Styela clava: one gene and its partners. The protein of the gene in region 2 binds, or shares a complex with, the protein of the main gene of each other region. Links are inferred from orthologs where the notes say so. Each region holds a gene or a part of one and is shown on either strand. Other genes may lie near its edges.

Region 1 (11,472 bases), on a different chromosome or scaffold from region 2:
TGTTTTCACAACTTGACATATAAATGTCATTTGATATAAATCAAGGTCAAGTGCCCTACTTTGCGATGGATTATTGATTGATAACAGTATTGCAGGCCCAATAAAGATTCTTTTCATTACTACACCCATGTGTAAAACATAGATTTTGGCGGTGAGTGCAACGAGTTGAGATCAGACTTGCCATCCAAGGTGCTAATTATGTGACCTTGTCTGCTTACAAGACTTAACAATGTAGCTGGCCATTTTACAGGCTTCTATATTTTCAGAATAAATACAAAAAAAATGCTTTTTACCGATATAATTTGGAAGAGAGAAATGCATTTAAAACAATATTCAAAACGATAACTAATCATACCCATGATCTTCAGGTGCCCAATGGAATTTGACAGGTACTTGGGCAATACTTGACGCAATGAAAGTAGTTGTAATAAAGACAACACTCAGTATTGAAATTCCAAGACGAACATGTGCAACGACCAATCCATTAACTTCAGGATGCATTTTATAAGTTATATAGGTTTGCATAAACTCATATACAGTGCCACCTCCAAATGTAAGCAAAGCCCCGAATAGATGGACTCCTAAGACACTCGTTTCCTGAATAGTAAGAATAGATTAGCATGAAAGCAAATGTTCACAGATTTTTTAAAAGTCAACAAAGATTTTCCTATCCTGATAGATATGCTTTCTAGGTGTCGCTGACACAATGACTTTGGTAGTCTTTCGTGGCCCCTTGTCAATTGGGTGTTCCTGAAGTATGCGCACCAAGATGTCGCATAACCTGAACCCTAATCTGGTACACATTAACACATACTATGTTCAGGCTGTGCGCCATCTTGGTGTGCATACTTGAGGTCCGTCAATTGCAGCTGTTTAATTGTGTCATTACAATATTTCATGCACGACGAAACAAACATCTGAATCTAAATAATCAAATAAGAAGAGTTGAACTCTTATGTCGTTACCTGAAAATTCGCTACAAGAGACATTCCAAGACTTATTGCAATCCCGAAATACCAAGATATTTTATTCACCCGATAAACTTTCCGTACATCATGGTCTGAGAGTTTAATGAGGAAGGATTCAACCTGCTTGTAACGAACATACAGACAAGCCAGAGCTGTGATAAAAATAGAAAAGTCGTTTATTTAAATACTAATCAACTGGCAACATTGAAATAAAAATACTAAACATCATGACGACATTAAAAAGTCCTTGCAAAATCTTGCTGATATAATTTTTGGAAAACCCTGCGCCTTCCCCATGTCAGACATGATTGAAACAGATAGAATTCCTCAGCTTAATCACATGGTGAACCACGGCCAGGTTACTAGTCCATGTCAGGTAAGGGAATACCAAATCACCTACTCATTTCAGATGCATGGACTTGATTTCGGAGCATTTTTTCAATTTGTACTCATTTGTAACAACACATGTTTTACAGGCGCTCCCGTAGTATGTGAACCAAAATGGCAGACACCGGAACATAGCATGTGTACCAAGTTAGGCCATAATTTTATTCCAATTTTTCCTATTAGGAGTTTGTGGACTAGCCAAGTTACTCCCGTAGTATTTGTACCTGAAATTATGGCCTAACCGGGTACACATACTACCTTCCGGTGTCCGCCATCTTAGTTCACATACTAAGGAAGTACCCTTTTACCATTAGTAAACTCACCAAATGCAGCTGTAATATTCAACATCTGTCCAAATATTGAACTTTCTGGTCTTCTTGCACCAGTGTCGGATATGTATGGAAACCCTGGATCAACATCCCCACGAGAAACAGAGATTATATACGAAATGGTGAAGGTCAGGTATGTCCAGACAATAACGAATATTGGAAGAAAAGAAAGCCCACGTGTAAACCAGAAATCCATTATGTACGTGGTTCAGTAGAACAGTGAATAAAAATATTTTAATACTACATTGGAAGACCTAATAGGAGAATTTACAGAAACAAGAATATGATCACCAATATAATTTCAATACAACATTAACAAAACATATCAAAAAACAAGAAGTTGAACAGCACATTATTTTTCAATTTCAACGTCTGCATCAACAGAAATTGCAGAAAGTACAAATATTGGAAGTAAGGTTGTAACATGATATAACTCAATTTTCCACCTGACAAATTACATGAGATAAATTCTCGACAATATTATATTGGTAGAAATGTTATTGCATCCAATTATAATACTGTAAAAATCAAAATAGTATAACACAAATAGAGCAATAATGAAATGTATAAAGTATTAAAACAAAACAATTTTTAAAACATCCCTAGAATGATATTTTGAGACTAGCTCAACACAATTCAATTGATACTGAAAAAATCACAGATATCAGTAACTGAGGGCATGCCAGTTTTACACTTGACAACTTATAATAATGTTTAACATCGTACCCAGTGGTGGGAATCAGCCGGTTTGCACCGGTTCTATAGAACCGTCTCACGGAAATTTATGAGATCAGCAAACCGGTTAGCATTACTGGTTACTGTCAATGTTCTGTTTGTAACAGAATCGGCTGAAAAATATGATTTTTGTGAAGGAACCAGCTGACAAAAATTTGAATTACACCACTGACCGTACCTCAATGTATATGAATTTACATGATAGAAAGAGAAATACAGTTCATTTTATCTCTCATTCAGCCTGACACCACTAAGAACTGGTCAACCAAAACTTCATCATTTTTACATCATCATCGTTACAGAATAAACAGTTCTGTAATAAATCTGTTGTGTCATCTTTATTTCTTTTATCCGTCACAAATTTGCGAAGAATTTCAGTTTTATTGATCCATTCTTGTTTTAAACAAAGTAAACATTGCAAAACAACCTCATTGGAAAGATTCTCATTCGCTAGAGCAACCTCCAGTTTTTCAAGAAGGCTTGGACCCTTTTCTGGAATAACACAACTGCTGTTCCATTTAAATTCTATTCCATTCTTCCACAAGACTTCTACAATAACATAGTCTTTCGTTCTGACATTTTTGAAACTCAAAAGACAAGGCATTCCAATTAAATTTTTGTCCGTTGGTATTGTAGTTGTCCACTCTGCAATATTAGCACAGCCTTTTGGTAGGATATTTTTGAGGGTATGAATGGCTGATATAACAGCAGATTGCAATCCATGCCAGATTACTTGATTACCAATAAGCAAATGCCAAACTATAGCTCTGAATCGTGGAGGTTGTAAAACTTCCCTCATGTGGCGTAGCGAAAGAAATTTGAAACCCGACTCAATTGAAGAAGCAATAGTTTGGTCGTTCTCATCTAAAGATAATTTCTCTAAAGTGGGTGGATTATAAATGACATTTTCTTTCCAGCGTAGTTTACAAGCTCGTATTAACCATGTGAAAGATGAATGAAGATATGAATATAGTTTTTCATCGCCTGTTAGTTCAACAAGCGCTCTTGCATTAGAATGACTGCTCCGATTTGATCGAAAATTTTGCGGAGTTACGGTCTTCGATAGAGATGACTTTAGTCTCGTATTTCTCTGGGGACATTCAGCATGTTCATTGTTATACACTGATACAGCACATTTTTGAAAATATGCTATTATCTTACTGATGCATTCTACAAGAAAAGGCCAGGACTGGATCAAATATATACGATCCATCATAACAACGATTATGCTATATTGACGTTTAAAACCTCTTGCAAGACTGTCTTTGATTGGAAAAGTATAACTTAAGACGTAGCCTTCATTTTCATCACCATAAAAAATAGGTCCTTCCCTTCCAGGGCATACTTCGCTGCTGACACTCCTCACACAAGCTTGTCGAACTTTACCAAAAACATTTGGATTCTGCGGATGTTGAGAACTAACAAAAACTTCTTCAGTTTTTCCATCATAGCTTATGAATCCTTTATGTCCATCTGGTAAAGATCGACACGCCTGACAAAGCGAACTTTTATTAACAGAGTTTTGTCTCGAACAAGGTCTTGAAAAATCCGCAGACATCACTGAATCTGGATAACTGGTTCCAAGTGGAATTTCTTGCGAAGAGCTCACTTCTGGCAACGCATCCAGATTAGTTTCTTTTTGGGGGGGTAAGCCTCCTTTCTCTGTGCAGAACATCACGCTTGGACCATGTTGCTCACAGAAATGACAAAGGGCTATCACAGCGTTCATTGCAAGGAATATATATTTAAGCGAAACTCTTATTAGAAAATAGTATATCGATTTAGTCCTGTAAAAAATTCCAAATGTTTAAAGATTTAAATATAACAAATAAAACACTACTCATTGCACCATTTCATAGTATCAAAACTAGGATGGTGTAGCCAGTCTGCGGACGATTTCATTCAAACCGCTATAAAACAAAAACCAATATTTCTAACCCGTTAATTTTTCCACCGTAGGTGCATTGGCATTTATTCTACACGCTGAACTTCGAATTAACTTTCTACGACCAGGGGTTAAAGCTATACAAACCACCAAAGTACGACACTCTGAAGACGTATTTGCGACCGAACGACCAGTGTGCGATCACGGATTTCAAGCCTTGAACATTGTTTCTGCTGCGTCGAGACTAGGGCATACGCAGCCATGCGTGAAAAAATGGGCTTCTAATTGCATTTCTGACCGTCATATATTTTAAGAACACGGTTATTTCAAACAAAATTCTTCAAATTATAAACAAAGCACCGCATCACAGCAATCAAACAGACAAAAACACGGTGGTCGCAAATTAGTTGACAAAGATTTTATTGACGTATTGGAAATGCGCACCCCCCTACTCCCCCTCCTTTAAAGGTAGAAACGCGAAACTTTAAAGATGGTTAAAAGAAACACAACTCTACCCACCTGCCAAGTTTCATCTCTTTATCTTTTATATTTGTATGGATTTTCAAGCTTCTTTGAGGGAACAATGGGTAGTTGGCGACATGGTAAAATGGTCCGTTTTTTTTCTTCGGTCAGGTTTTCGGTCGTAACTTTTTTATTTGTGGCCGCATTTTAGTGTAATTTCGCAGAGCTACGAGGGATAAGTGGACGATAACGTGTGAGAAATATCGTCGCGGTTCGTTAATTTTTTCGGCATTAATTTAATCGATGAAGTTGATGGTCGCAGATAGGTCATGGCCGCAAAGTGGGTAAGCCACCCTATATGTTTTTTTCCAGAGGAATCTGATGGTGACGTTTTTTAGATTGCACTTCCATTTAGTATATTGCTCATTACGGTACCGATTTGTGCCAATATTGAGGCCCAGACTCGTAGAGGAGGGGTACCGGTATATTCTAGTTGTTATAATTCAGTAATTGATGTCTGTGAATGTGAGGGTTATTCTTGGAATCAAAAAACTGTGCCGTACCAAAATACTGGTATGGCTGTATGATGCTTAATTGGTTACCGGAATTGCGACCACTACACTCTACAGTCATTAACTTGCCACCCACCTTTCTACATAATCTCAAAAAACTGGCATATAACAGTATATATTAATGATAATACTGCTAGATGACATGCAATAATATGACAAATATTACGAATCGCCGGCATCGTGCTAAGCAATAGATATACGCTCCCCTCCGCACCTATGATTACTCTGCGTGATTACTCTCCACTCAGGACTCAGACACTGACACTGCTCCACCACCAAGTCCATGCTGCCGAAAAATAATTACCTAATCCCATACAGGTACCCGATACAGTGATATGGAATGGTAACCGGACGAGAGGCCGGGTAATCGACTTTCCTCTCCCCCGGGATAAATATGTAAATCCTATCCTGAACGTTAGCGAACACCGAGATAAACCAAGCGCTTTCACAGACTGCTGGACACAAGAAAATGATCGACAAAAGGGATTCCCCTAAATTGTCACAAGACTAGTCACGTGAAGTGGACTGACACAAAAACGCCATTGACCTGTTTTTCCGATTATAACACGAAACGCTTAACTTGAATCGAGGTCACACGATCACATGATTTTGAAGAGGATCATTTGATCTTTTTATGAGAGAGCTTTGTGATAGTTATGTATTTTATATACTGCTCTTCCGACGTAAAATAACAACATATCAAACGTCTCAGTATATCAAACTTCCATTTATTAAGCTGGCAGTTATAAAAGCGGGAGTGATATATACAAGAAGGTGACATTGACTATTTTGCAAGATATCCTTCCCATCACGTGATATACACCGATATCTATCTTCATGTACACTGGCCACAAGTTCTTTTGCAGATATTGCGGACAACGACAGTGGCTTTACAAAGTCGCTTGAGAGTTGCGCATGCATTTCCACTCAGATCGAAACACGCGAGTGCTGGAAAACAAGAAATAATATTTAGCAAATATCTTCGACTGATTTGAAGAAATATTCGAATTCGCGGTAGTTCCATTTTTTATATAACCGCATTTAGGGACTATTATGCGCAGAGTCTTATAAGGCGCACTGTCAATGAATGGCTTACAATCGGTTTCTATCCATACACAATATGCATCGGGCAACAAGGTACATCGATTTTTAAAACGGTACTTATTTTGAAAGTGGGCAGTAAATCACTACCGGCTTATAAAGCACATGATCGATTTTGAAGGGAAAAAAGTGCGCCTTATGATTAGTAATATACAATTTCACCAATATGAAGCCAACTTACTTCCTGACGCAGTGCAATATCCGCAACTTTTTTGACACTTCTTTCTCATCATTCTTATATATCCCGCAGAACTGCATCTTCCTGTTGCTGCCCAGTACTGGCATTCCGTCAGCTTATCCGCACATGTCGGGTTTGGGACTGTTGTTGGACTGACAGTAGTGGTAGTTGTGGTAATAGCTGTAGGTAAGAAACGTAAAATTTGTTAACACAATGGCGTAAAATGAATTCCAGTGTATTTTCGTAAGAAAAGAGTTCGTATAGTCAAATCCTATATTTTCTATTTTATCCTAGAAGTAGCCTACCTGAACACTTGTAAAGCAAGTTGATCTGATCAATGTCCGTCTGCACTAGTCCAGCTTCCTGAAAACGAAATAAAATAGTGTTATATATGTAGGCTACATTTAAGCATCGTTCTTTTCGAAATAAGACAGTTAGGGCGCAAGCAATTAGAATGGCATCACTATTAACTTCAAAGATGAATCGAAAGATATATAAAGTATACCTGGTATCCAACGAGATCAGTTCCATCGGGCATCGTGATAGTTTTCGAAGTGTCGTCTTTAGAGAAAGCTGTTCCAAAGTAGTGCATAATCGATGTATAATCGTATGGTGACCCGAGCGAATCAATTGTTGATATTTTTTCAAAGTTGCCCTCCTTACCTGAAAAATATAAAGTTGTTAAGTGAATTTGAATCAAATGTATTCAAATGTATTTGAATTGTATTTGAATTGTATTTGTATTTGAATTTGTATTTGAATTGTATTTGAATTGTATTCAATTGTATTTGAATCATTTGTATTCAAGTCAATATTTTTTTTTTAAAAAATCGCGTTTTGGGAATTTTTGTCAAGGGGGGAATTAGACGATTAATGATGTATTTTTGCGAAGTAAAAAACGTAATTCAACAGGATACCCTCAGAAAATAAATATGCTCCAGCTATAATTTCGTTACCATATCAGATGAAATTATGGATTTTTGCACGTGAGTAGAAACTTGAAGCCGATTGGATCTTTGATAAGTAATTTAGGAATAACAAACTTGCAAAATTTTTGGTATGGCCACTTCCCGAGGTATGTGAACCATGGTGACGGACACCGGAACGTATGTGTACCGGGTTATGGTTAGGCCAGGATTTTTTTCCAATTTTTCTTATTTTATTTCTATTACGAGTTCGGCGACTAGCCAAGTGACTCTCGTAGTATTTGTATCTGAAATTATGGCCTAAACTTAACCTGACACATACTACGTTCCGGTGTCCGCCATCTTTGTTCACATAATAAACTTATAAATAATTTGTAATTACCTGGTTCCACATTTGTTAAGATGATATTGACGTAAGCATCGCGATCCGGTCGTTGATGCTCGTGGAAGAAGCCTAGACTGTGCATTATTTCATGAATCGCAATACCTTTGGTCTGACAGCCGTCACCTAGAGAAATCTGAAAAAAAAAAATTTATATCAGTGGTTCAATTATTTTGTCAGTCAGAAGATGAGGTAGATATATTGATGAATTTCCAATATGATTTGAAAATACCGCAAGGGTTCAATTTCACTTCACACCCTGAAACTGTTGTCAACCAGCAGTAACCAAAGCCGAGTATGCTTTAATACTGAATAGACGGAGGTATTTGAAATTCATGTACGTCTCAGTTTTGAATTATTACCAGAGTGAAGCCGCAACCCGATTTGGGTTGTTTTTTACATTTCAGTGGTCGACTGCGACTTTGCGAAAATTAGTTTAATAAGATTTAAGAGCATATGTATTTTTGCTATTTAGTCGCACCCTATTTATCCCAGTGTTACGTCCGATCGGTGCAAAACAGCCACTATCAGCGTAAAACTGCATGTAGTCTGATTGTGAAGTCCTTGGAATAAATCGTAAGCAAGTTGAGGCTTCCAGGTCGACAATGCTTTGCTGAACGGCGGTTTGTCCTGCGCTGGCTGCAAGGTAAAATTATAAATACTTATTATTCAAATATAAATTGCACGCGTGGTAATTGTTGTTGAGAGAGAAAGTCCTTTTTATTCAGTTAAGCCCTTCGCTTTTAATGTTCAAGAGTGATTACAGATGTAAATCGTTTTATAAGTCTATTACTGGCACCATTTTATGCCATTTATTTGTGCTGCTTTGCTGTTTATCATAGACGAGGTCTGTGTGTAAACTGCTGTGACGATTTGCAGTCGTAAAGAAATGTTGAACTCTCATAGACAATATTGAAGTTTAATATTTGAAAAAAAATACTAAATTTTTAACTCTTGTGCAGTACTCACCGAACCCCGAAGCAAACTCGTAAGGAATGAGATATGTGGTCCCAGATGGAATGTTGTTCCAAAGCGGGAAACTAATGCTGGCGCCCTTCGATGGCCGGCCTGGTCTGAAGCCAGCGTCAATAAATCTGGCAACCGTTGGAGAGAGTATCATGTCATCCATACGAGCTGAAAATATTGAAATGTATTGTTACTTGTACATTCGTAAAACTGATTTATCGGTAAGACGATTTCTCCAAAAGAAGCACTTACTTGGGTTTGGGTTACAGGCGCAAGTGAGACATCCATAGCTATCTAACAGTCTTTCAATGCATTTCGTACCAGGACATTCTACAGCAACATTCTGCACTCCACATGTTTTACTTGGTGTCCGAGGAATCCGCACTGCTGATACGGCACACGCACCGACGATAAGAATAAATGCTGAAAAAGACGAGTAAGAACAACTTGGAAACAATCGATCATATAATATATATATAACAAAAAATACTTCATAAGCTTTTTGCAAGGTGATCATGTTTTTATTTTAAAAATTATAGGAGTAAAACATTAAGTTTCATTTACGAAAAATAGGACACAGGTTAACGATAATAGAAATGAAAGTTTTAAATTGACTTACCGAATTTCAACATTGTGCTCAAATATAACAAACTGTTGGCTCGACTTAAAATACAGTGAATGAAGTTCAGGACCCATCTCTGCACTTTTATACAGTTTTCGATAATTATTTGTAAATTGTTTCCAAAAACGCGTAATAAGATTTAATTGTTTATTAGTTTTTTTGTTATTATAATTTTCAATTCTAATTACGTTGATTATAAAGTAGTGATTGTTATTGCGGCTGTGATATCACACTTGGTCTGGTGCAAAAGTATAATTGTTCTGAAGAAATATAAACAATACCTGGCAAATATATCTTTCTAAAATGGTTGATCCCTCCCATTGTTAAGGAATCTGAATTTTGCTTCGGTAATTACTACCGCCATTTTCCATTAGATTAAATATTTGCCATGCCAAGTCCAAGATGAGTCGCGTCAATCAACAAGTGTCGAAACGTGGTCGTATATCAGACATGAAATTCTGAGAAGATTTGGCCAATATACGGATTTTAATTATTTGTATAACATTTGTTACAATCAAGTAATTTGCTAAAATAAACAGTGTCATGGATTCGTAATAATCCTTCGAATGCAATGAGAAACGATTTTCTTGCTATTTCAAAGAATCGGACTGAACTATTCAATGCAAGTTAGTGATTTTGAGAATAAGTTATAATCTGAATCAGAAATATTTATTTAAATATTTGTTCAAGGAAGGAATTCAACAATGAACAACAGTAAGTAGTTTGTTTTATGTTATCTCAAAGAATAACAAAATTTGCTTTTTTACGACTTATCCTTTTAAATAGTAAACTTAATGTATATATTTTCTATAGATTTAATCGAAGTTTGTTTTACTGTATTTTTGCTGGTATGGCCGTATCCAGTTTGTTTGTTGTTTTTAAAAGCACCTTAACTGTCTGGGGTATTGTACGACTTGAAGCATGGTTCCCAATAAGTAAAACAAAAGGAGAAGCAAGTAATCACTAGGGACTAAATGTTACAATTAAATTCATGATAGGCAGCAAATCATACCTTCCAGAAGAGTCATTCGAAGGACTTAATGCTTTGTTGTTTCAGTGAATAATTAGTTAAAAATCGAAAATGTTTAAAATTGATATTCAGATATACTCGTCACATCATTCCTGATTTGCTTGACGCTACGATATTCTAGCTGCTCAATTATCCGTCGCTCTGTTCAAGGAAGGGCGAGTGCGAGAGATGCAACGAAGTGGATGAATCTTCCTGATGGAGACAATTGGAACATTCCTTATGTGATGGAAGGAGTCAGTAAGTCAATCAATGATTCAGATCCATACTTTTATGGAATAATCCGAAAACTACATTTTTATCACCCATTCGCGTAATTGTGAAATATTTTTTATTTCCGATTTATAGTATTTGTATTGCGAAGTTTGGCCATGCACATCACATCGAAAAGGGTGTTATAAATTTTGCTATGCCGAGCACACTAGCATGAAGTCACGATTGATACCCTATTACCCTACCTCCAGAATATGTCTACTGATCGTAGCGATATTTCGTCAAACATGACCGGTACTCTCTTATGTAACTTGACTTGAACTTAACATTTCTCTGGGTTACTTTCAGGTAGCACTTTGATCATTTTATCATGCACAGCTTGACATTGTTGTTTAGATATAAATGCTCAAGTTGCGATAAGATATGCAATCAATGATTTTCATGAAACCACCTGTCTGAGATTTATTCCAAGAACAACGGAAAAGTATTTCGTGAAGTTTGTTGACGATCGTGGTTGCTACGCACAAATTGGACGACGGGTGGATAAACCGAATACGGTAAATTTTATATAAATAATCAATCTTGACAATGTTCTGTACACACGACCTATATATTTGAGTATTCGTAACATCCAACAAGCTATAATTAATCTGAATCCTTTTTATCGAATTCATAATCAAAATTTATCGAGTGCTTTTCATCCAGCAATATTCATAGAA
Region 2 (11,324 bases):
ACCCGTCCCCCTGGCTTCAACCTTTTCTCAGATATTTGAGCTTGAATCCAAGTCAAAATGCTCCTTGCCCAGTGCCTTGTTTAGAATGAAACATCAAACACAAAAATAGGGGGACTTCTGGCTCTCAGTGGCTGTTTGCACAGGGTCTGATTTGGAGTAAAATGTCGAATAACACAAAACGGTGTTCCTTAGTTATCAGCTCCTCACACGGAGCTTTGTTTGATAAAAATACGGAAATATTTATGAAAAAACATATTTTTACAGTTGAGTTTTGATTTCTCATCGCTGAGCGAGATCAATTGTTAAGTCTTGTTTCCTTATGACACGTATGTCTCCCGCGGCAACAGCCAAACTCTCGCTGATTTCATTAATAAGCATGATGTCATCAAATGAAGGCATTGGACCGCCGAGTAACGTTGCAGGATTGTTGCAAGCGGACCGTAACGACGGCTTTCTCACCTCCAATCTCCCTCCAAGAGCTGAAAAAACATTTAAAGTTAGGTTACTTCACATTAGGGAACAAAGATATTCAAAACAAATCGAATGTTTCTATCTATTCAAAGTAATTATTTTGGTACTTCTGTACTGTAGTATGCAAACCAAGATGGTGGACGCCATGCATCAAACAGACAAAGATCAGTCTGTTTTTATTTTATCAATTTCGAAGCTAGAGCTAACTAGTAGGTCTGTTTTAGAATCTAAATCAACATAAATATTCAAAAAGACTTTTCCCATTGTTCCAAAGTACGGTAATTATTTTAAACGATAATTGTTGTTGTGTTTCTGGCAACAAGAGTTTTCCCTAGATGTCATTATGCTTTTCTGGCCAGTTTTGAATTGAAATTTGCATCAAAAAAAGGTTGTGCAGTCGAAGTTTGGTTTCTTTTATCAGTGTTAGAGCTGGAGTCAGATGTCATTTTTACAATTTGGTGTGTAAGTTTGGATTTGAAATGGTTTTGTTGGTATTGGGGTCTGGGTTGTGTCTTTCAGCTCCCTGAGTAGGGGGTAGTTGGCTCGGGTTCCAAATAGCGACTGTCAATAGAGCGACTACACTACATCGATTCATTTAAAACAGCGACTGTCACAACAGCGACATCACTCCCTTTATTATATCCAAGGCTATAGTGCAAAAGCACTCTTTCAGCCCCCCAATAACACCCCCCCCCCCCCAACCCACACACACACCTTCCATCCCCCATACCCTAACTTTGATTTGTCATTCCTGTACAAAAAGTCGCTATCATAACAGTGGCTGTTCTAATGCGGCTGCCATTATGACAGTCGCTCACTTGATTACGTCGCTATTATGAAGTCGCCATTATGACAGTCGCTGTTTTGACAGTCGCCATCCGGCCTGGATACAAGGGTAGTTGAGGTGAACCAAAATGTATTAAAACTCATCGAATTGAAAGTTGATGCATTTTTTGAAATTACTCAAATTACTACTAATTCAGAAGTTTGGAGTTTGACATGGTATTGGTACCACAGTGAGTCATTCAGACATTGTTGTCGCTATCAACATTATTCGAAGCAGTCATGCAAGAAATGCCAAAAGTTTCACACTGTCTTTTTCATCAGATAAAATAATCTTAGCATAGGTATATTTATTTTATTAACCTAATCCTCCCGGTTTGACGCATGCGCGAAATTTCAGACGTTTTGCAATGCTGTGTGTATACCATGAGGTCTGGAATGTTTGTTATGGTCTTGCTTGAAAGGAAATCTTATTCCCCACACAACGATATGAGAATGAACCTTATATGACATTTAGAAGTGATAAAATTTCGCTTACATATCACGCGTGTACTTCCCGCTGCGATATAAAAACGTCGCACAACAAGAAAATGATTCCATAAACCTTGGCGTTGCGCGCAAACCAATAACAAAAGCTAGTATGATAAGGTCTTATTTTGAAGGTCATTTTATATGCTACATAACATAGGAGAGTGGACATCTCACAACGTCAGGAAGTTATAAAAATATCGAGTCGTTTGATCGCAGCTGCCTCACCGAAAAAAAGTTAGGCGTTTTATCTCGCAAATTCTCCTTGTCTGACGATTATAAGCTTTTATGATTCATAATAAATGTTTTATTATGACTCACAAAAGCTTTCAACGCGATAAAGCACAAACAAACAACCGATCGATCTATCAAGCTTAGCCTGGCCTGATTCGATGTGGTGACTTCTCAAACGGAAAATTTCCAAAACGCTTGAACAACACGCGCTATGGAAAAGCGTTTAGAATCATATGAAAGAGAAAACCAATGTGCAGTCAACTGTATAGTCACATTTCAGCTTTACAATAGCGATAGACGTCCAACAGCTGATAGAATGAGAGAGTGTAAATATTTTTATTATTTTTTGACGTTACGAAAGACCTCTTGAAAGATGTGTTTTAGTTTACGGTCCTCCAGTGACATCTAGCGTATAGTACTCTAAAATACCTTTCCAATGGTATATAATTATTGTATATTGGGTAAATTTTGGGGGTCGTATGACATTAATAAAAATGTATTCAAAATTGTGCTCGATTGAGCGTCTGAAACAGGTCAATCAAATGATTTCTTCAAACAAATTTAATGTTATTAAATGATACACAGTTTGGGACCACAGCATTGAGCATTGTTTACACATAATGGCTATTATTCTTGTATGGAAGTACTCACTATCTCTATTCCAATTACCTGTTAATTTTCTATTATACAGCGTCACTCTGTTCATATATTCCACAGCGTCAATCCTCGAATCTATCGCTGTTACGTCAATAACGTCAGATGAATATTTTGTTAGAATTCCATTAAGTAACGTCTGTTCGTCCTGTTGGCTTCGTGATACGCTTCCAATAGGTGTATGCTCCTGTTAAATTTAGCCAAGTGGTTAGAGCAGGGTTAGGGAAAGGTTTTTGCCCATCTAGACTAGGCCAAAGGGGCCGTGAAAGTCATATTTTATGAACAATATTAATAGTGTTACAAAAACAAAAGTGAAAAACAATAAGCCTTGTGCCAAAACCTAATTTAATCACAATCTCAACAAATTCCTTGAGTTATTTTTAGTTGAACCTCAAAATTTGATTTTGATTTGGCTGTGAATGCATCAGGCGGGCTTGATTGAATTATCCAAAGGGCCGGATTTGGCCCATGAACCGTAGTTCGCCCACGTCAGGGTTAGTTTAACTTAATTTTAACCTAGCTAGAAATATTGGGTTCAAATCCAAGCCCAATATGTCACCCAGGGTTGAATGAATTGGGAAAAAAATGCTGATCTGGAAAGATCTCTAACCGACATGAAAAGAAGGAAGTCAGAGCTAGAGTTACAGTTTTAAATTTTTCAGAGTCATAGTATGACCGCTTTCCGAAAATGGACCTTTCAAGTCTTCAAACCGAATCCATTATCACGTTTTAGAGCATTAGCCCTATTAACACCGAACTACAAACTTTATAACTCTGTGAAACCCAGGTTCGAAATATTTGAGTGAACTGTGCAGTGTACTTTATACAGTACAGCACACTATCCAAATTCCAAGAATTTCCCTCCATTTGGCTCAATAAAACAAACACTCTATGTGTCTCACAAAAGAGGGACGTCTGGGACCACGTCTGATGCTTCATATCACGCCATGCTTGTCTAAATAATAATCTAGATCAGGGCTACTCAACTGGCGGACCACGGTCCGAATTCTGACCTTTCGAGTATTCGATTCGGACCGCGTCTGATTTTATTTTTATTTTGGATGATTGTCTCCATTTAACTTTGGATCTGTAAAAGGATGTGGAATATTTTGCGGTTACTCAGTTTTCCACAACTCGCGTTTCCTTAACTTTTTAACCGAAAAGATAGAGTCACTGAATTATAGTTAGGCGCAGTATGAAATACATTTTCTGGCCATACCGGACCCCAAGAATTTTCAAGTTTTGTATACGGACCTTTAGCAAAAATAGTTGAGTAGCCCTGATCTAGATTAATCCCGGCCGTCACATGACCAAAATTGCTGTTTTTTGCTAAAGACTTTTGAATGCTACGGTGAAATTTTTTTTCCTTCGGTAAATTTGATTATTTTTTCCTAATGAATTCAATGATGACGTTACTAGATTGCGCTTTTTTGTAATATTTTGCGCAACTTCATTATACTGTATTATTATCGATAATGAAGGACAACAATGTCCATATTATTATCGATAATGAAGGACAACAATGTCCAGACGTCTCCCAAAGGAGGAGTGTCTGATCATCTGTAAAATTGGTTTCTCTGAAACGGGACAATGTCACCCGATTTGTATAATGTGCCGTACTGTTATAGGGAGACTGGACCCCAGTAAATTCCGTACTAATCTTTGTGGTATAAGCACTCGGAGGGGTGAAGTTTGTGTAGATTGTATAATATGAAAATAACAAAAAGTCACTACCTCTGCGATGACTTGTGTATTGATTGGGGCTGTGTTCGCAATTGTACTATTCCCGTTTCCTAGCAACGATGTTCGCTCATCCGCTTCCTCCTCATTTTTCTTTAAACAACTCTCGAGGCAACCCATAATAGATCAGTAGATAGGATGCATTAATATTATTTATACTATGTGGATAACAGTGGAATACTGGAATAAAAAAATAGGGTTGCCACTTTGGTATGCAATCTCGATCCCACTTTCTTAACACTTTTATTAGTACTTGTGGTACTAAACCAGGGGTGGGCAACATACGGCCTGCAGGCCGCGACGAGATTTTGACTGGCCCGCCGACTGTATCCAACCACACTCTGTAATGTGGTTCGACGCATCACTCCTGAAAGTTGCCGATCGCTCTACTCTCACCGCACTGTCAGTGCGAGCGGGTGAAATAAACAATTGTCTTTCTTAAAAGTCGATAAGACAGCTTAACCATATGGCGAACCAGAGCCAGAGTTTTGGTTATCAAAATTTGGTTTTCTTAGATTTCGTAGTTAGAGTCGGAGTCAAATTTTTGACAGAAATTTAGAAAAATGTTTACTACACATTCTTCAAAGGCTATTGAGGGAAGCTTGCATACGCTAAAATTTTTGTGATAAAAATTAAATTTTCTTTGAGTTCATAGTTGGAGTCCTAATAAGAAGTAGGTACCCACTGTGAGTGCTAAAAACGCCAAACAAAAGTGATGTGAAAATATTTGCCTAAATAGGCTATTCACCAGAGTTTTTTTAGTAAAAGTCAGTCAGTCACGCACGGAGAACTACCGGTATACCCTATTAGGGCGTGGGACATTGAGGCACCAGGCTGCCAGGCAAGAATTTCATTCTGCATCAGACAGTCTTTCACCTTATGATTTTGTTTAGTGTTCAAGGAGTTACGATTAACTTGGATAGACAGAAAGACCTAAATATATCTCGACCCTGAGAGTTATATATATCCCCTCCACAGCCAGACAGAATTGATTTGAATAGATGACCAGGTACCACGGTACCGTAATTTTCCAACTACATATCAAAAGAATTCAGATAATTCGAATTCAGATAAAGCTATTAAGAATTGCTGAATTGCGTAACGTCCTGACGTCTGAACGTCGGTTTTGGCCTGCCCTTCTATTTTTAATGTAAAAAAGCATGAAATTGGAATTTGTTTTTTTCTGCTATTTGCTTGCTTTCCTGGCACCTATAAATCGGTACCGGTACCGCCTTATGCCGATTTTGTGAAATAAAATTCACGACTGCTGCCGATAGTGCGTTACGGTACAAACTACCGCTGCGCCTCCAAGGTACGGTTTTAAGTCATGACGGCACGTGACTACTGTAGTCTGAAAGAGCATTCTGCCTTTATAGGCCGCGAGCCGAGGCCATTTATCTTTCAGTTTCGTAGCGCACATCAGGTAACTACCTGAAAATGATTTTAAAATGTTCCTTAGAAATTTAGTAACAAATATTGCCTTGTTCCCACTTCCAAAAGTTGCACGTTTTACAGAAAAGACGCTTTTACTACACTAAATATGTGTTACCATCTGTCCTATTTTCTCTGCTTTTCCGGTATCATGGGCCAATGAACGCAGACTTCTGCACGACGTAACAGTCAAGTTAGTCAGCTGTAGGTGGATCCCCAGTGGTCGGATGAATATCAGATGTACTCAACTGCTCGCTTTTGCGTTGAGTAGTCTTTCCATAGTTTTTTTCAGTTACCGGTAATATTAGTCCAGTTATTCTAAGGAGGTGTTGAAAAGTATAGGTAAGATATTAAACACTTGTATATCCTTGCCATAAATAGCAATTTTAGTTGAGCACTAGCTCATAAGACGTTGTTAAATAGGTACGGTGCGGTAACTCCAAGGAAGGCTAGACCTAGAATAATATGTCACAAACAACGATATTTTCTGGCTTGCATGAAATGTTTATGATTAATTTAATGACTCTTCTTGACTATTCAGCAGACTTATACTACTATATAGGCCACAGCATATTTGGAAATAGAAATGAATGGCTGTTTCTGTAATGCACGGTTGTGTGAAAGAGAAGAAATCAATCAATTTTACTAATGTCGGTTGGTCTAAATCTAAATTCATAGAGTCGACAAGAACCTGGGAAGCAATGATAAGTTATGCCGGAGTGGAAAGAAAGGTAGCATTGGAAATGATTGAGAGGTGAGAAATGAAGTTGTAGACAAACAGTTGATGTTTCAAAATATAGTCTATAGTCCATACTCATACTGTCATAGGACATTTCAGACTGTGATATATCAAAATTTAGTGTAGATATAGTCTAGTAATGGTATGCAAACACTGCTGGACTGTAGAACATGCAATGAGCATATATACGCTCATTTAGTACATCAGATAAAATGCATTATGTATTCAAGGTATTAGTTAGTATTTAGGGGTATTTTTAAAATCATGCTGCTCCAAATATTATTTTCTTCCTTATTTTAGATACTGTACTACAAAAGAAAACGGCAATGTTCCACCAATCCGACCTAACGCAGGCTCTGATCCCTGTTGCTATCAGTGCTATAAAATGGATTAAACAAGAAGTCTTGAAGCTTAAAGGTATATGAGAATCATATTAGTTGCAAACGGCTTAGATGGGCTATTTATATTGAAATACTTAAGCACTTTTCTGCAATTGGAACTGCCCATCAAATTCAAGTTGGAGACTTCATTGAGATTTTCAATTCATTTTTTTCCCTCGACTATGAAGATCTTTTGAGGTTAACGAGGTATTAATAAATAAAGCTGAGGAATTTAAAGAGGATATGAAGAATGTAAATGATACCAGGGCACGTCTATTTAACACTGTCAAACATAAGGATTATACTCTCCACCCAACAATGATTCACTGAAGAAGCATGTGGCCCTCAAATCAGTTCTTGAGTTGGCAAACTGCAAAGAAAAATAGTCAAAATAATTTATGAAAGTGTGCCAAAATCAACTTAAATTGCACAGATTTTTGTTTTTGTATTGACTGCAGAAATCACAGTACACCTATAGAGGAAACGTCGATTTCTGAGATTGTGGATTTCGAAAACAATTCAGAAGAAAGTGAATTAGATATTACAGTTGATTTAATAAGTATCATACATTTGTTGTTTTTTTCGGACATTTGTTAGTGTCGTAGTCCTGTTTCTAGAAATATTATTGCCTTTGTTCAAATACATAACCACATAAACTAAAAAAAGATTAATTGTAAATTGTAATATTTCTGTTCACTATGTTATGTACATATTGTACATTCATTTAATTTTCTTGACTTTTGCGGTAAATTTCTAAGTGAGAAATAACTGATTTATTTGTGTTTTCGTGCTCACGATGTTAATTTGTGACTTCATTGCTTAAAAATAAATACGTTTGATACTTGATAGCTTCTATAAAATGGATGTAGCTTTTTATGCTGTTCTTGTTGTAAACTGCTTGTGGTTATTACATAAAATTTATTCTCAAATGTGAATCAGCGTTGTTGGTGTCGCTGCTTTCGAGGTCACTCCCGACTCCTGTCACACAATTAAAGTATTTTTTGTTGTTGGTTACATGTATGCCATATTTTTCGTAATCTACCTAATAAATTATGATTGACTGAGGAAGTCCGATTTTGGTCAGGCAAAACATTACAGGAATACATTTGTGTTAGTGTGCTGTAGGGCTCTCGAATTGTATAGTTCTTATGTATGCGTTGTAAACTTATGGTTATTGAATTTCCGGGAACCTCTTATATTCAATTTCGCACCAGGATTGTGGAACAAGCTGTAATGCGTTCATTATGTTCGTTTTCACACAAAACTGAAGAATTTATTTAGTTACCAGATGTGCGCTACGAAACTCATTTTCTGGGCGTTTTCATGGTTTCGTCTCACGGCCCATATCCGTGGTAAGGATCTACAAGTGTTTAATAATTTACTTATACATTTTTCAACAACGTCTTAGCATAACTTAACTGATAATAACTAAACAGGGCTATGGAAAGCCTGCCCAACTCAGCGCAAGGTCGAGCAGAAATAACTAATATTCATCCGCTCGCTAACAGCTGGTTTAATTCAATTGTTACGTCATGCAGAAGTCATTGTTCAGTGCCGAAAATGTAGAGAATATAGGACAGATCGTGACACATATTTCTTGTAGTAAAAGCATCTTTTCCGTAAAACGTGCAACTTTTGGAAGTGGGAACAAGGCAATATTTGTTACTAAATTTTTAAGGAACATTTTAAAATCATTTTCAGGTAGTTACCTGATGTGCGCTACGAAACTCACTTTCTAGGCGGTTTTCAGGGCCTCGGCTCGCGGCCTATTAGTTTTGCTGTCGTTTGGCGTGCGTTACATTATGATTAGTATAAGCGTAAGTATAAGTATATTTTGAAACCATAATAGGCATAAAAGGCGATAAAAGAATTGATAAAAACAAGCAAAAACTTATTACTGTATTAGGAGCCTGCCTGTGTTCGAAGACAATAGTCTGTCCTTACGGGCTTTTGCTTTTTTTATGTTTTCCACTTGACAGTTGAAGTCAAAACTTTCTATTTATTTCTTAGCGGTACTGAAAATCCTATTCTTTACTTTTGTGCGTGAACAAGAACCAGCATTTCCTATTAATACCGCGACAACAGGCTAAAAAAGAGATGCTTTTTTTTAAAACAACGTTGCATTATTGTTAGTTTTTAAAAGTACGGTGATTCAGATTCAGATAATTTATTTTCGTCGTGCAAGAAACATTATGAACAACACAAGCATAGTAAATCAAGGCAAAAGAAAACAACAGACACATAATGTTTCGACTGCAATTAACGAGGAGCCGCGAAAGACTATCAAGTCATCGTGTCAGCGACACCATTAAAGCTGAATGACGTCAAAAAAACGTCAAATGATTAAGGTTGAGTTATATATGATCAGGGCAAAAATTTGGAAAACGTAAATCGAATCGAGAGAGTAAGCCAAATGAGAAAAGTTTAAATAAAAAGTATGAATGGAATCAACAGAGTCGGGGAAGAAATGATTAATCTAGAATTAAGTTAGCTCAGGGGAAATTTAAAAAACGTAAATCGAATCGAGAGAGCAAGTCAAAAGAGGAAGGTTTAAAAAGAAATGTGAATGGAATCGAGAGAGAAATGTTTAAATGTGAACAAATATCCATCGTGTCGAGTAAAAGTCAGAAAAAAACGCGTTCACGATAAATCATTATGTCAGTCTCGCAGCGTCATGCTCGGGTGATCGCAATCACAATATGAAATTGGCAGGACGCTGCAGAAACTTAGCAACTGAAGGGGAATTCCCAGCAACCATAACAGGGGAAGCCGGGTTGGATTAAGTACCGGTACTGATACGGCAATATATAAATAAATAAATATATAAGTACAATTCAGACAGGAAAAACAGTTTTGATGGGAAAAGTTCATTCCACATGTACTTTGGGCAATGATGCAAACTCAGTGATAATGGTCGTGCTCTGTGAGGACAATAAAGAAAAATGGTGACAATGCCAATGGCATTAAGAGGTGAAAAAAGTCACGATCGTTTAGGTAAAATAGAGATCCTGGACCGAATGACCAGTTATAGAAAAATCGAGCCACACAAAAGGTGGGGGACATGGGTTGTATACGGTACACTACTATACTTATAAGGGATAAGTCAACAAAGTATCTGAATCTTCGTATTTGATTGTTGTTTGATAGATTGTTTGTAGGTAGAATAGAATCAAAGAGAATATAAAGGTTATATTCACTTTAAATAGGGTAGGATTTACGTATTTATCCCGGGAGAGAGAATACCGAAATGAAATAATCGAGATATTTATTATTTTGTCAACCAAAATACAAACAGTCATCAATACGAAAAAAGGTATTGTATGTGCTTCAAACTAGCGCATAGTTTATAGTAATTAAGCAGGTAAAAAGCTGATAAGAATCTGTTAATGTAGGCAGTCGAAGGAAGGGCAGTAAAGAGACTGGCAGGTAACAAGCTAAGACGAAACTGCGGCCGATCATCATACAACGTGGATATGTATGAGAGTCTGTGATGCAGTTTCGAGAAAAAAGGCGGTGAGCTCCGCGGTCAGAGGCGAAATGATTAAGGGAAAAGGCAGGAGTGGCCAAACGGTCAGGGACCAAGAGCCGTATTTCGTACCCTATTCCCGCGAAGAGCCACATTATAAACAAGAACACACATGGACATCAGATATACCTTTATTCAGCTCTGTTTTATTGCTAGTTTATTGTAAATATCACTAACCAACATGATTATGACAGAAATTTACAAGCCATTTATTGTTATGGATGCGGGACTTCCGGCATTTTTTGGTTCGAACAATTCTCTGTAAATTTGGCTTGTATGTCGTTGTAGCTGACCGAAGCAGTACTGTCACATGTGTGTCATTAAGAAGTCAGGGTAGAAAACACAGATTCTCAGACGTATGTTATCCCAAATATTGACAATATCCTAAGAGCAGCTCGTTTGAAATTGGGATATAGTCTTCCTCACGAGGATCGATCATTTTTAACTCTGTTGCAGGACTTGCAGCCTCATTTGAGAGACTGAGGCAAAGGAAATTTCAAACAAACCGTCTCGGACCAGGGACCAGGCAAATCGCTGTGGAAGTCCAGATGCAGGAAGTCAGGCAGCGTACAATATCAGAGAGAGAGGGATTTATTGCCACAAAAACAAAGTCAACACTATGGACCTTTCCCCGAGCATCGACTTTCTTGTTTACTCCGTAATATTGGCCAATCAGCAAGATGCGAAAAGTGACGTAACAATGCTCCCTTTTCGCATCCGCTCAGACACTTTTCTCACTCAGACAGATTTTCAGGCGTGGTCGTAAACATTACCTCGTTTTCGCGTTTGTGAACTGTATTGGTTAGTTTTCAGTTGTGTTACGGAAACTTAAATATAA
Region 3 (10,954 bases), on a different chromosome or scaffold from region 2:
CAGCACGTTTTGACTTGGCCATATATAATACCAAACATAGCGTATATTCCTCGATTTTTAAAACAAAGGTACGTAACATATTAAAAAAGGGTTTGTATTTCAACTAAAGTTGCAGGATAATTGATCAAATATCTTTTTCTCTTTGTCGCACATCAATACTGTACGTCTATTAAAGTTAGAATAAGTTTCAGAAAGTATAAAATAATTATAAAAAAAATTTTGCGCACCCCCTTGAATTAGTTTGAGAATTTCGAAAATTATCGTTTTTGGATTGGTGATTTCTCAAAAACCGCCAATAAAGGCAGCATCACGACACATTCAGAGAAAAGCACATACCTTATAGATTCAATTTTATTATGTCAGAACGGTAGCAGAACGTTTTGACTTTGCCATATATAATACCAAACATAGCGTATACTCTTCAATTTTATTAACAATGTGGACGAAACAAATTTAAAAAGGAATTGTATGTCAACTAAATTTGCTGAACAATTGATAAAATATATATTTTTCTCTTTGTCACTCATTAATACTGTACGTCTATTAAACTTAGAATGAGTTGCAGAAGAAAAGTATAAAATACCAAAAAAACATTTTACGCCCTCTCGTGGATTCTTTTCAAAATTTCGAAAAATAATCGATTTTGGAAGGGGAATTTCTCGAAAACCGCCAATAAAGGCAGCACTACGACACATTCGGAAAAAAGTATATACCCTATAGATTTGATTTCACTATAACAAAACAGTGGTAGCATGTTTTGACTTGGCTATATATAATACCAAAATAGCGTGTATTCTCAGTTTTATAAACATTGTCGACGTAACAAATTCAAGATGGATTTGTATTTCAACTGAAGCTGCTGGAAAAATGATCAAATATATTTTTCTCTTTGTCACAAATGAATACTGTACGTTTATTAAACTAAGAATTAATTGGGAAAGTTTAAAATAAATAAAAAAAACATTTTACGCTCTCTATAATGGGTTCTTTTCTGAATTCCGAAAAATAATCGTTTTTGAAAGGGCGATTTCTCGAAAACCCCCAATAAAGGCAGCACTACGACACATTCGGAAAAACGCAAATACCTTTTAGATTCGACTTCACTATACTATAACAGTAGCAGCACGTTTTGACTTGGCCATTTATAATACCAAACAAAGCGTATATCTCAATTATTTGAATAGCGTAGATGTGCCCATATTTTAAAAAGGTTTGGTATTTCAAATAAACTCACCTAATATCGTAATATTCCGTTTTCTTACTTTTTCAAACACCGATACTGTGTGTTAATTAAACTTGGAATAAGATGCAAATTGTATGAAAAAGTTAAAAATGTCTTACAACCTATATATAATTTTTTCAATTTCCCAAGCATGCCGTTTTTGGAGTGACGATTTCTCGGACAATGGCCAATAAAGGCAGCAATACGACACTTTTGGAGAATAGCAGATACGTTAAAGATTCGATTTCACCAAACCAGAACAGTAGCAGCACGTTTTGATCTGACCATATTTAATACTAAACATAGCATATCATTTTCAATTTTATCAACTATGTATATGTAACATATTTAAAAACGGTAAAGTATTTCAACTAAATTTCATCAAACACTTTTCTCTCTTGGTCATACATCAAAACTGTACGTTCATTAAACTTGAAATTAGTGTGCAAATCTTAAGATGCCAAAAAATGATTTGACGCCCTCTAGTGGATCCTTTTCGGAATTTCGAAAAATTATCGTTTTTGAAAGGGCGATTTCTCAAAAACCGCCAATAAAGGCAGCACTACGACACATTCGGAGAAAAGCAGATACCTTATAGATTCGATTTTATTATGTCAGAACAGTAGCAGCACGTTTTGACTAGGCCATATATAATACCAAACATAGCGTATAATTTTCAATTTTATCAACTATGTAGATGTAACATATTTAAAAACGGTTAGGTATTTCAACTTAATTTACTGGATAATTCATCAAACACTTTTCTCTCTTGGTCATACATCAAAACTGTATGTTCATTAAACTTGGAATAAGACGGCGAATCCTAAAATAACAAAAAATGATTTGATGCCCTCTTGTGGATTATTTTAAGAATTTCGAAAAATTATCGTTTTTGAAATGGCGATTTCTCAAAAACCGCCAATAAAGGCAGCACTACGACACATTCGGAGTAAAGCAGATACCTTATAGATTTGATTTCATTATGTCAGAACAGTAGCAGCACGTTTTGACTTGGCCATATATAATACCAAACATAGCGTGTATTCGAACTTTTATGAACAATGCAGACGTAACATATTTAAAAACGGTTTGGTATTTCAACTAAATCTATGGAGTATCTGCTTTTCTTCGAATGTGTCGTAGTGCTGCCTTTATTGACGGTTTTGTGGAAATAGCCACTCCAAAAACGGTATGTTCGAGATATTAAACGAAATTACTATGGGGCGTAAGTCATTTTTTTGTTGTTTTATACAATTTGCAACTTATTCCAAGTTTAATGAACGATCATTATTGATGTACGTCCAAAAAAAAAGATGTTCGATGAATTATCCAGCAAATTTAGTTAAAATACAAAATCTTTTTACAATATGTTACGTGTACATTGTTTATAAAATTGTGAATACACGTTATATTTGGTATTATATATGGCCAAGTAAAAACGTGCTGCTATTGTTCTGACATAATGAAATGGAATCTATATAGTATTTTCTTTTCTCCGAATGTGTCGTAGTGATGCCTTTATTGGCGTATTTTGAGAAATCGCCTTTTTAAAAACGATATTTTTTCAAAACTTCAAAAAAAAAATCACAAGAGGGCGTCAAATCATTTTTTGTTATTTTAGGATTCGCCGTCTTATTCCAAGTTTAATGAACATACAGTTTTGATGTATGACCAAGAGAGAAAAGTGTTTGATGAATTATCCAGTAAATTAAGTTGAAATACCTAACCGTTTTTAAATATGTTACATCTACATAGTTGATGAAATTGAAAATTATACGCTATGTTTGGTATTATATATGGCCAAGTCAAAACGTGCTGCTACTGTTCTGATTTATTAAAATCGAATCTATAAGGTATCTGCTTCTCTCCAAATGTGTCGTAATGCTGCCTTTATTGGCGGTTTTCGAGAAATCGCTATTACAATAACGATAATTTTTTGAAATTTTGAAAATAATCCACAAGAGGACGTGAAATGCTTTTTGGTATTTTATACTTTCCGCAACTTATTCCAAGTTTAATGAATGTATAGTATATATGTATGTCCAAGAGAAAAAGATGTTTGATAAATTATCAAGGAAATTTATTTGAAATACCAAACCGTTTTTAAATATGTTACGTCTGCATTGTTTATAAAAGTTTGAATACACGCTATGTTTGGTATTATATATGGCCAAGTCAAAACGTGCTGCTACAGTTCTGACATAATGAAATCAAATCTATAAGGTATCTGCTTTACTCCGAATGTGTCGTAGTGCTGCCTTTATTGGCGGTTTTTGAGAAATCGCCCTTTCAAAAACGCTATTTTTTCAAAAACTTCGAAAAAAATCCACAAGAGGGCTTCAAATCATTTTTTGTTATTTTAGGATTCGCCGTCTTATTCCAAGTTTAATGAACATACAGTTTTGATGTATGACCAAGAGAGAAAAGTGTTTGATGAATTATCCAGTAAATTAAGTTGAAATACCTAACCGTTTTTAAATATGTTACATCTACATAGTTGATAAAATTGAAAATTATACGCTATGTTTGGTATTATATATGGCCAAGTCAAAACGTGCTGCTACTGTTCTGACATAATGAAATCAAATCTATAAGGTATCTGCTTTACTCCGAATGAGTCGTAGTGCTGCCTTTATTGGCGGTTTTTGAGAAATCGCCCTTTCAAAAACGATAATTTTTCGAAATTCCGAAAAGGATCCACAAGAGGGCGTCAAATCATTTTTGGCATTTTAAGATTTGCACACTAATTCCAAGTTTAATGAACGTACAGTTTTGTTGTATACCCAAGAGAAGAAAGTATTTGATGAATTTTCCAGTAAATTTAGTTGAAATACCAAACCGTTTTTAAATATGTAACATCTACATTTTTTAACAAAATTGAAAATATACGCTATGTTTGGAATTATATATGGCCAAGTCAAAACGTGCTGCTACTGTTCTGACATATTAAAATCGAATCTATAAGGTATCTGCTTTTCTCCAAATATGTCGTAATGCTGCCTTTATTGGCGGTTTTTGAGAAATCGCTATTTCAATTACGATAATTTTTTGAAATTTTGAAAAAAATCCACAAGAGGACGTAAAATGCTTTTTGGTATTTTATACTTTCCGCAACTTATTCCAAGTTTAATGAACGTATAGTATATATGTATGTCCAAGAGAAAAAGATGTTTGATAAATTATCTAGGAAATTTATTTGAAATACCAAACCGTTTTTAAATATGTTACGTCTGCATTGTTTATAAAAGTTTGAATACACGCTATGTTTGGTATTATATATGGTCAAGTCAAAACGTGCTGCTACTGTTCTGACATAATAAAATAAAATCTATTAGGTATCTGCTTTACTCCGAATGTGTCGTAGTGCTGCCTTTATTGGCGGTTTTTGAGAAATCGCCCTTTTCAAAAACGATAATTTTTCGAAATTCCGAAAAGAATCCACAAGAGGGCGTCAAATCATTTTTTTGGATTTTAACATTTGCACACTAATTCCAAGTTTAATGAACGTACAGTTTTGTTGTATACCCAAGAGAAGAAAGTATTTGATGAATTTTCCAGTAAATTTAGTTGAAATACCAAACCGTTTTTAAATATGTTACATCTACATAGTTAATAAAATTGAAAATTATATGCTATGTTTGGTATCATGTATTGCCAAGTTAAAACGTGCTGCTACTGTTCTGACATATTAAAATCAAATCTATAGGGTATCTGCTTTTCTTCGAATGTGTCGTAGTGCTGCCTTTATTGGCGGTTTTTGAGAAATCGCCCTTTCGAAAACGATAATTTTGTGAAATTTATCAAAGAATCCACAAGAGGGCATAAATTTTTTTTCAGTATTTCAGACTTTACACAACTTATTCTAAGTTTAATGAAGTGCATTATTGTTGTGTGACAAAGAGAAAAATATCTTCTTTGATGAACTATCCAGTAAATTTAGTTGAAATACAAAATCAGTTTCAAATTTGTTGTATAAACATTGTTTTAAAAATTGAAGAATATACGCTATTTTTAGTATTATATATGGTCAAGTCAAAACGTGCTGAGACTGTTCCGACATATTGAAATCGAATCTTTGAGGTTTCTACTTTTCACCAATGGTGTTGCAATGCTGCCTTTATTGGAGGTTTTCATGAAACGACCATGTTACACGACGAAAATTCAGTCATTTTTAAACAAAGAATTATAAAAAAAATTTGTGCACTGTAACAGTCGCTTTAGCTTGTTTACTATATATTAACAATACGAGGAGTGTAGTTAATGATTGTTTTGCTTTAATTGCTATTGTGAAACTAATCAAAATATACACTTTCTTATAAAAATCATTGGGAACATTTAATTTTACGCGTGGGTATTTTCTGCGATTCTGTCAGTCACAATTTCGTGTTTTGCTGCTAGCTTCACAGAGGTGAATGGTTTATGAATTTAATCAAATCAGAATCAATCAATCAAGTTTATTTTTTTCCAACCAGTAAAAAAGGAATAAATAACATAGGCACACAGTTTTACTGGAGAAGGGAAGTCGCGGGGAACCAAAGCTGGTTATCGAGGGGTGGAGGCTAACTCGCCATGGACCACTCGCGGGGTTAACGGGTATGCGGCATGCCTGCAACTGCACGAAGGCTCTTCTTGCAATGGGAGATGGAAAGGTGGTTTCACTTACAACTTCAATAGCGAGGATAAATATATTAAATTAAATGTGTTTGGTTAGAAAGATGTCTCAACTTATCATTTTCATCTAAGCATGCTAAATATATCACTATATTAATTGATTGTGTGAGCACTAAATCAACAGTGTACAATCGCAACTGCACAAAGGCTCTTCTTGTAATGGGAGATGGAAAGGTTTATCCTCGCTATTGAAGTTGTAAATGAAACAGCCACCTTTCCATCTCCCATTACAAGAAGAGCGTTCGTTCAGTTGTGGGCATACGGTATGGGATTAGTTAGCCAGTTATTTGTTTTTGGAAGCATGGACTTGATGGTGGAGGAAGCCGTACGGTACCGGTAACCGACCAGCGGTTACGTGAACCACCCTACGGCGGCGAGGAGTCCAGCAATCCTCTCGCACATGATCATCCCCGCATGGGATTCGAACCTGCGATCCCACGAAGGGTAATCGATAGGATACCGTACTGTAGGATTTACGGCCTCTCATCCGGTTACCGTACTACAGTACTAGGCTATTCCATGTCGGGTATCAAGGTATAGGATTAGTTACAATAGTTATTTGTTTTCGGAAGCATGGACTTGCTGGTCAGCTGGTGGAGGAAGCTGTAACCGATCAGTGGTTTGTGAACCACCTTATGGCTTATGGCTGCGAGGAGTCCAGCAATTTTCTCGCACATGCTGACATGACCATCCGTCCATTCTCATGTGGGATTTGAACCTGATTCGGGCTGTTTTACTTAAAACTTCAATAGTCTAATAGTGCTCTGAGAGACAGTCAACTCGCCATGTCTATTTTCTTTATATTTCAGTATTTGTTGATCGACATCGCGAGCTTGAGAGAGTCAACTCGCCATGTCTATTTTCTTTATATTCGTTGATCAACATGGCGAGCTCGAGAGAAAGAGAGCCAACTCGCCATGTCCATTTTCTTTATATTCGTTGATTGACATCGCGAGTTCGAGATAGAGATAGGGTGGCAATTTTTTACGCAAATGAAAATAAAATCAGAAAATATAACAATGTGTAGGTCATGGGCTTTTCCATATGCTTAGAACAGTGAAAAAGCTTGTTCATCTCTCACAGTCTCAACTGATGTGGGTATTTTCTGAGTTCAGAGTTAGGACAACCAAATAAATTTAATACATTAATACTGTAATATGTTGAATCCTCAAGATTTAACTCAAGTTTTGAGTCAAGCAAACACTGGGGGAGTACAAAGCACACTTCTTGTTAACAATGAAGGATCCTTAGTCGCATTTTCTGGATATGGAGATACAAATGTTAATGTGAAAGCTGCCATTACGAGTAGCATTTGGTCTGCATATGAGAAAAGTGGAAGTAATGCACTTAGTAATGAAAATCTACAATTTATGCTTTTGGACTGCGATGATGGTCGAGTTGTCATGACGAGAGTTGCAAGTTTGATTTTGTGTCTTTTTGCAGAAAAATCTGTCAATGTGGGAATGTTGAAAGCAAAAGCTGATGCATTGACAAAATATTTGAGTGAACCTCTCAAAAACCTTGCGTTAGTTACATAATGATGTACAGACATTATCCAGTTATCTGCAAGTATTTATTAATAACATTCTAACAACTATTTTCTATGTCTGCGAAATGAACAGAACAGTTTTAATTGTATTTTTTCTGTGAAATGTAGGGATACAAGTTTTATTCCTTATTTGATTCCTTCATTTATTTACCGTGAGCTAGGATCGATTGTCATTAGGTTTTTGATATAGCTACTTGGCCTACCATAAAACAGCCTAAATGCAGTTTCACAGAAGGGGTCCGCTAAATTAATATAACTGTATAATGATTTCAAATTTTTAGGTGGAACCTTGAACTTTTAATTATACAAATTTAACTTGAAAATTATTTATAGGGAGCATTAGAAAATTATATATGTAAAATAATAACCAAATGGTTATAAGATGGAGCCACTAAAATTTTTCACAACTCTGGCTCTCCAGCCCTGCTGAGACATCTGGTTTGAAATTTTGAAGTACATTTCTATGTGCTGTAACAGTGAAGTGTCAGATATCAGAAAATTTTCCAATGTTTATAACAATATTTTTTAAAACATTTAGCATTCTCTCTCTCTTCAGCCACTCTCCCTACTCGCTCTTTATAAACCCTTTAACTGATAACTCCTACTCCAGCCTTCTATAAAATTTCATGACTCAGACTCTCCAGCCCTGCTGAGACATCAGACAATTTGGTTACATCTGAAATACATTTCTATGTGCTGTTACAGTGAGGTGTCAAATATCAGAAAATTTTACAAAGTTTAGGACAATATTCTTTAAAACTTTTGGCATTCTATAGTTACTCTCCCTACTCACTGCGTTCAAAATATTTCGACGTAAAATTCTGTTGATAATATGAGATAGGGTATGAGCAAAGTGTAGGCCTTTATGTCAGTATGCATGACTCAATAATATTTTTTCTTTGCCACAATTTTCATTTGATGTGTTCAATTCTGCAATGTGCAATTCTCTTTTTTTTATATATATTTCTGTTCAACATTTTCTCATGAATAACTATGAACAAATGTAATTATCTGGTAAAAACAATTATTTAGTCAGATTTACACTTGCTTGATAGTAATAGAGAATGCTCATTATTGATATTGTTATAAAAGGTTAAATATTGTTCTATTATTGATTGAAATAGTCATTCTACATGAAGCGTTTCATTCAAAAGATAATAATTAATAAAATGTTTTAATTACCGGTATAAACATTTTATTACAAGAATTACTTTTAAATTTATGAACACAGATATCCTAATCTGTGAAATGAATTGCTAAAGTAGCTATTTTTTCTATACTGAATCTATACTCTGGTCATCATGATTTTATGTTACATTTATTTGGATATTTAATTAGGGGTCTCATGGTCACGACACATCTATGTGGCCTGCTGTATGATAAATTCACTACTTGTTGATGCAAAGATACCCGCAAGGTTTAATTATACAAGAAAAAATATGGGGTCTAGTGTAGTTTCGTACCCAAAGTACTTCTAGTGGGTGAAGCATAACAATTTGTGCATATGTCAATCCTAACCCCCACCTGACGGGGTCATCCAAAAATCACGTCACTACACCATCACAGTGACATAATAAGGGCCTTCAAACTATATGCACTGTCATCCAAGACACGCAAACGTTCACCCAAAATGGAACAGCTATTTCTCTCGTTTTGTCGGCGCAGCGATCCTGATACGAGAGAGATCGCTGCTGTTAGTGAGTTGTTTATCGTCGGCGCAGATGCTATTTGGGGCGATTGTAGGTATACTTTGACAAGCTCTATGACGTGTTTGTGACGTCGTAGTGACGCAATTTTTAGATGGCGTAGTCAGGTGGGGGTTAGGATTGTGCAAAAATTGCTGTGCTACACGAGACCCAAAATATGTAATGGTAGCTGCGGACTTGCAGTGTCAAGGATTTGTTTCCTTTAATTGGGAAAGAATAAACTTGTTGTTATTCCTGACCTATCCATTACTGATTATTTTCTTTCAATGATTACGTATACCCTAAATTTCCATATTGTGATAGCTTAATAATACTGATGATATATCTGGTTTTGTTTGCCATTTTCATTCTGAACTTTAATATTTTGCATCAATTTTTCTAGATGATTGCTTCTGATTAGATCTGTGGAATAACTTTTTGTAGGGTAGCCTACATAACTGTTCAATTTAAACTTAAACAAAGTCGCATTCACTATGTCTAGTTCTCAATTAACTCATGTCCATGATGGAGAGGATGTGGAAAATAGTAACAGTTTCCAGACTAAATTTCAAGGAGCTCTTGGGAATCCTGAAAAATTGTGGGATTATATCAACGAAAACAAAGAAGCAGAAACTGTTATCCGACCTGTTGCTTGGGAATTGATCGGTTCCACTATAAGTTTTCTCAGAGAAAATGCCATTTCTGAAAATCTGAAGACATATGAGAAATGTTTGGAGAAAATTGCTGGATTCGCAGTACCGAAAGATGTTTATCTGGGTATATTGGAACAATTTGACCCGAGTATTGAGTCGATGTATGTTGAACTTCTCATGCCTGCATTATCAAATGTTCTTGAGAAGCTTGCTTTAAATGACATCGATGCGTGTATCACTGTCCTTGAAACTACATTTTCAACTTTATCATATTATCTTGAAAGTCTAAATATTCCTAAGTATGAAGATTTTGATCCCACATTAAAACGAACAAAAAAATTCGAAGCTCAGAAAATTGAAAGTTTTATTTCTAAATATATTGATTTATTAAACCCAGTGGTGAGAGAAATATACTCTAAAAACAACCAGATATCTTCAAATATTCTTCAATTTGAAAGTTATATGTTTCAGTTTTTATGCAATTTGCTCATAATGCTGGGACAAGTTGACTTAGATGAGCCCTTACCAGATAAAGAAAATGACTCGATAAGAGAAAATGTAATTTTTCCGGGGACTTCAAAAATATGCTGTGACGTTATGCTTAAAATAACACATTTTCACTCACCAAATGTTCTGTGGCATATTGTGAATTGGTACAAGTTACAACCAGCTGAGGAGCGGTCAATGGAAGCTAAATTTGAAATTGTAAAACAAGTCGATCGAGCGAGAGCATGTTATGTTTTTTTATTGCTGTGTAGAGGTTTGCTTTATGATCAATTTCCTAAAGTTTATTCGAGTCAATGTCTTCTGGTATTTACATGCATATCACTAAACACTCTACTTTCTTGTGAAAACCAGTGTGTGGCATGGAAAGGTTTAGAAACTCTTTCATTCATTTTGAATCAAACAAGTGATAGCTCAATCTCATGTGGCGAAGTTGTCTATAATATAAAGATGTCTTATGGAAGCTTTCAAGGTCGTAGTCAATCACTAAATCCCATCCTTGATGTTTTTAAAAATCTCATTAGCATTGCTGTTATGCTACCTTCGAAAACTATCCGTTCAACTGCTATACAACATGTGACTAAACTACTGAATTTATTTCGTTGGGAGGATAAATATTCAATTTTAGTTCATCTGCTCAGAACAACAGATCACAATGGTGTGCAAGGAG

Evidence for each region.
Region 1: ragulator complex protein LAMTOR1-like (region 2) and folliculin-like share a complex: the UniProt entries of both Homo sapiens proteins name them as parts of the lysosomal folliculin complex. The link is inferred for Styela clava from reciprocal best matches to the Homo sapiens genes LAMTOR1 and FLCN.
Region 3: ragulator complex protein LAMTOR1-like (region 2) and ragulator complex protein LAMTOR2-like share a complex: the UniProt entries of both Homo sapiens proteins name them as parts of the ragulator complex. The link is inferred for Styela clava from reciprocal best matches to the Homo sapiens genes LAMTOR1 and LAMTOR2.

Annotation. Positions count from the first base shown.
Region 1 is NC_135254.1:8,920,159-8,931,630, forward strand, and holds folliculin-like, read right to left. Parts: upstream 4,244-11,472; 5' UTR 4,149-4,243; coding exon 2,670-4,148; 3' UTR 1,939-2,669; downstream 1-1,938. Other genes in the region: DNA damage-regulated autophagy modulator protein 2-like, read right to left, coding at 356-597, 966-1,120, 1,679-1,880; astacin-like, read right to left, coding at 6,174-6,286, 6,621-6,797, 6,923-6,980, 7,123-7,280, 7,926-8,061, 8,407-8,564, 8,895-9,059, 9,144-9,314 and 1 more; hatching enzyme 1.2-like, read left to right, coding at 10,218-10,227, 10,616-10,780, 11,150-11,310. UniProt on the Homo sapiens protein: Multi-functional protein, involved in both the cellular response to amino acid availability and in the regulation of glycolysis.
Region 2 is NC_135255.1:23,606,186-23,617,509, reverse strand, and holds the start of ragulator complex protein LAMTOR1-like, read right to left. Parts: upstream 4,610-11,324; 5' UTR 4,531-4,609; coding exon 4,405-4,530; intron 2,858-4,404; coding exon 2,686-2,857; intron 480-2,685; coding exon 280-479; 3' UTR 1-279. UniProt on the Homo sapiens protein: Key component of the Ragulator complex, a multiprotein complex involved in amino acid sensing and activation of mTORC1, a signaling complex promoting cell growth in response to growth factors, energy levels, and amino acids.
Region 3 is NC_135260.1:21,001,884-21,012,837, reverse strand, and holds ragulator complex protein LAMTOR2-like, read left to right. Parts: upstream 1-6,078; 5' UTR 6,079-7,050; coding exon 7,051-7,431; 3' UTR 7,432-9,531; downstream 9,532-10,954. Other genes in the region: glomulin-like, read left to right, coding at 9,622-10,954. UniProt on the Homo sapiens protein: As part of the Ragulator complex it is involved in amino acid sensing and activation of mTORC1, a signaling complex promoting cell growth in response to growth factors, energy levels, and amino acids.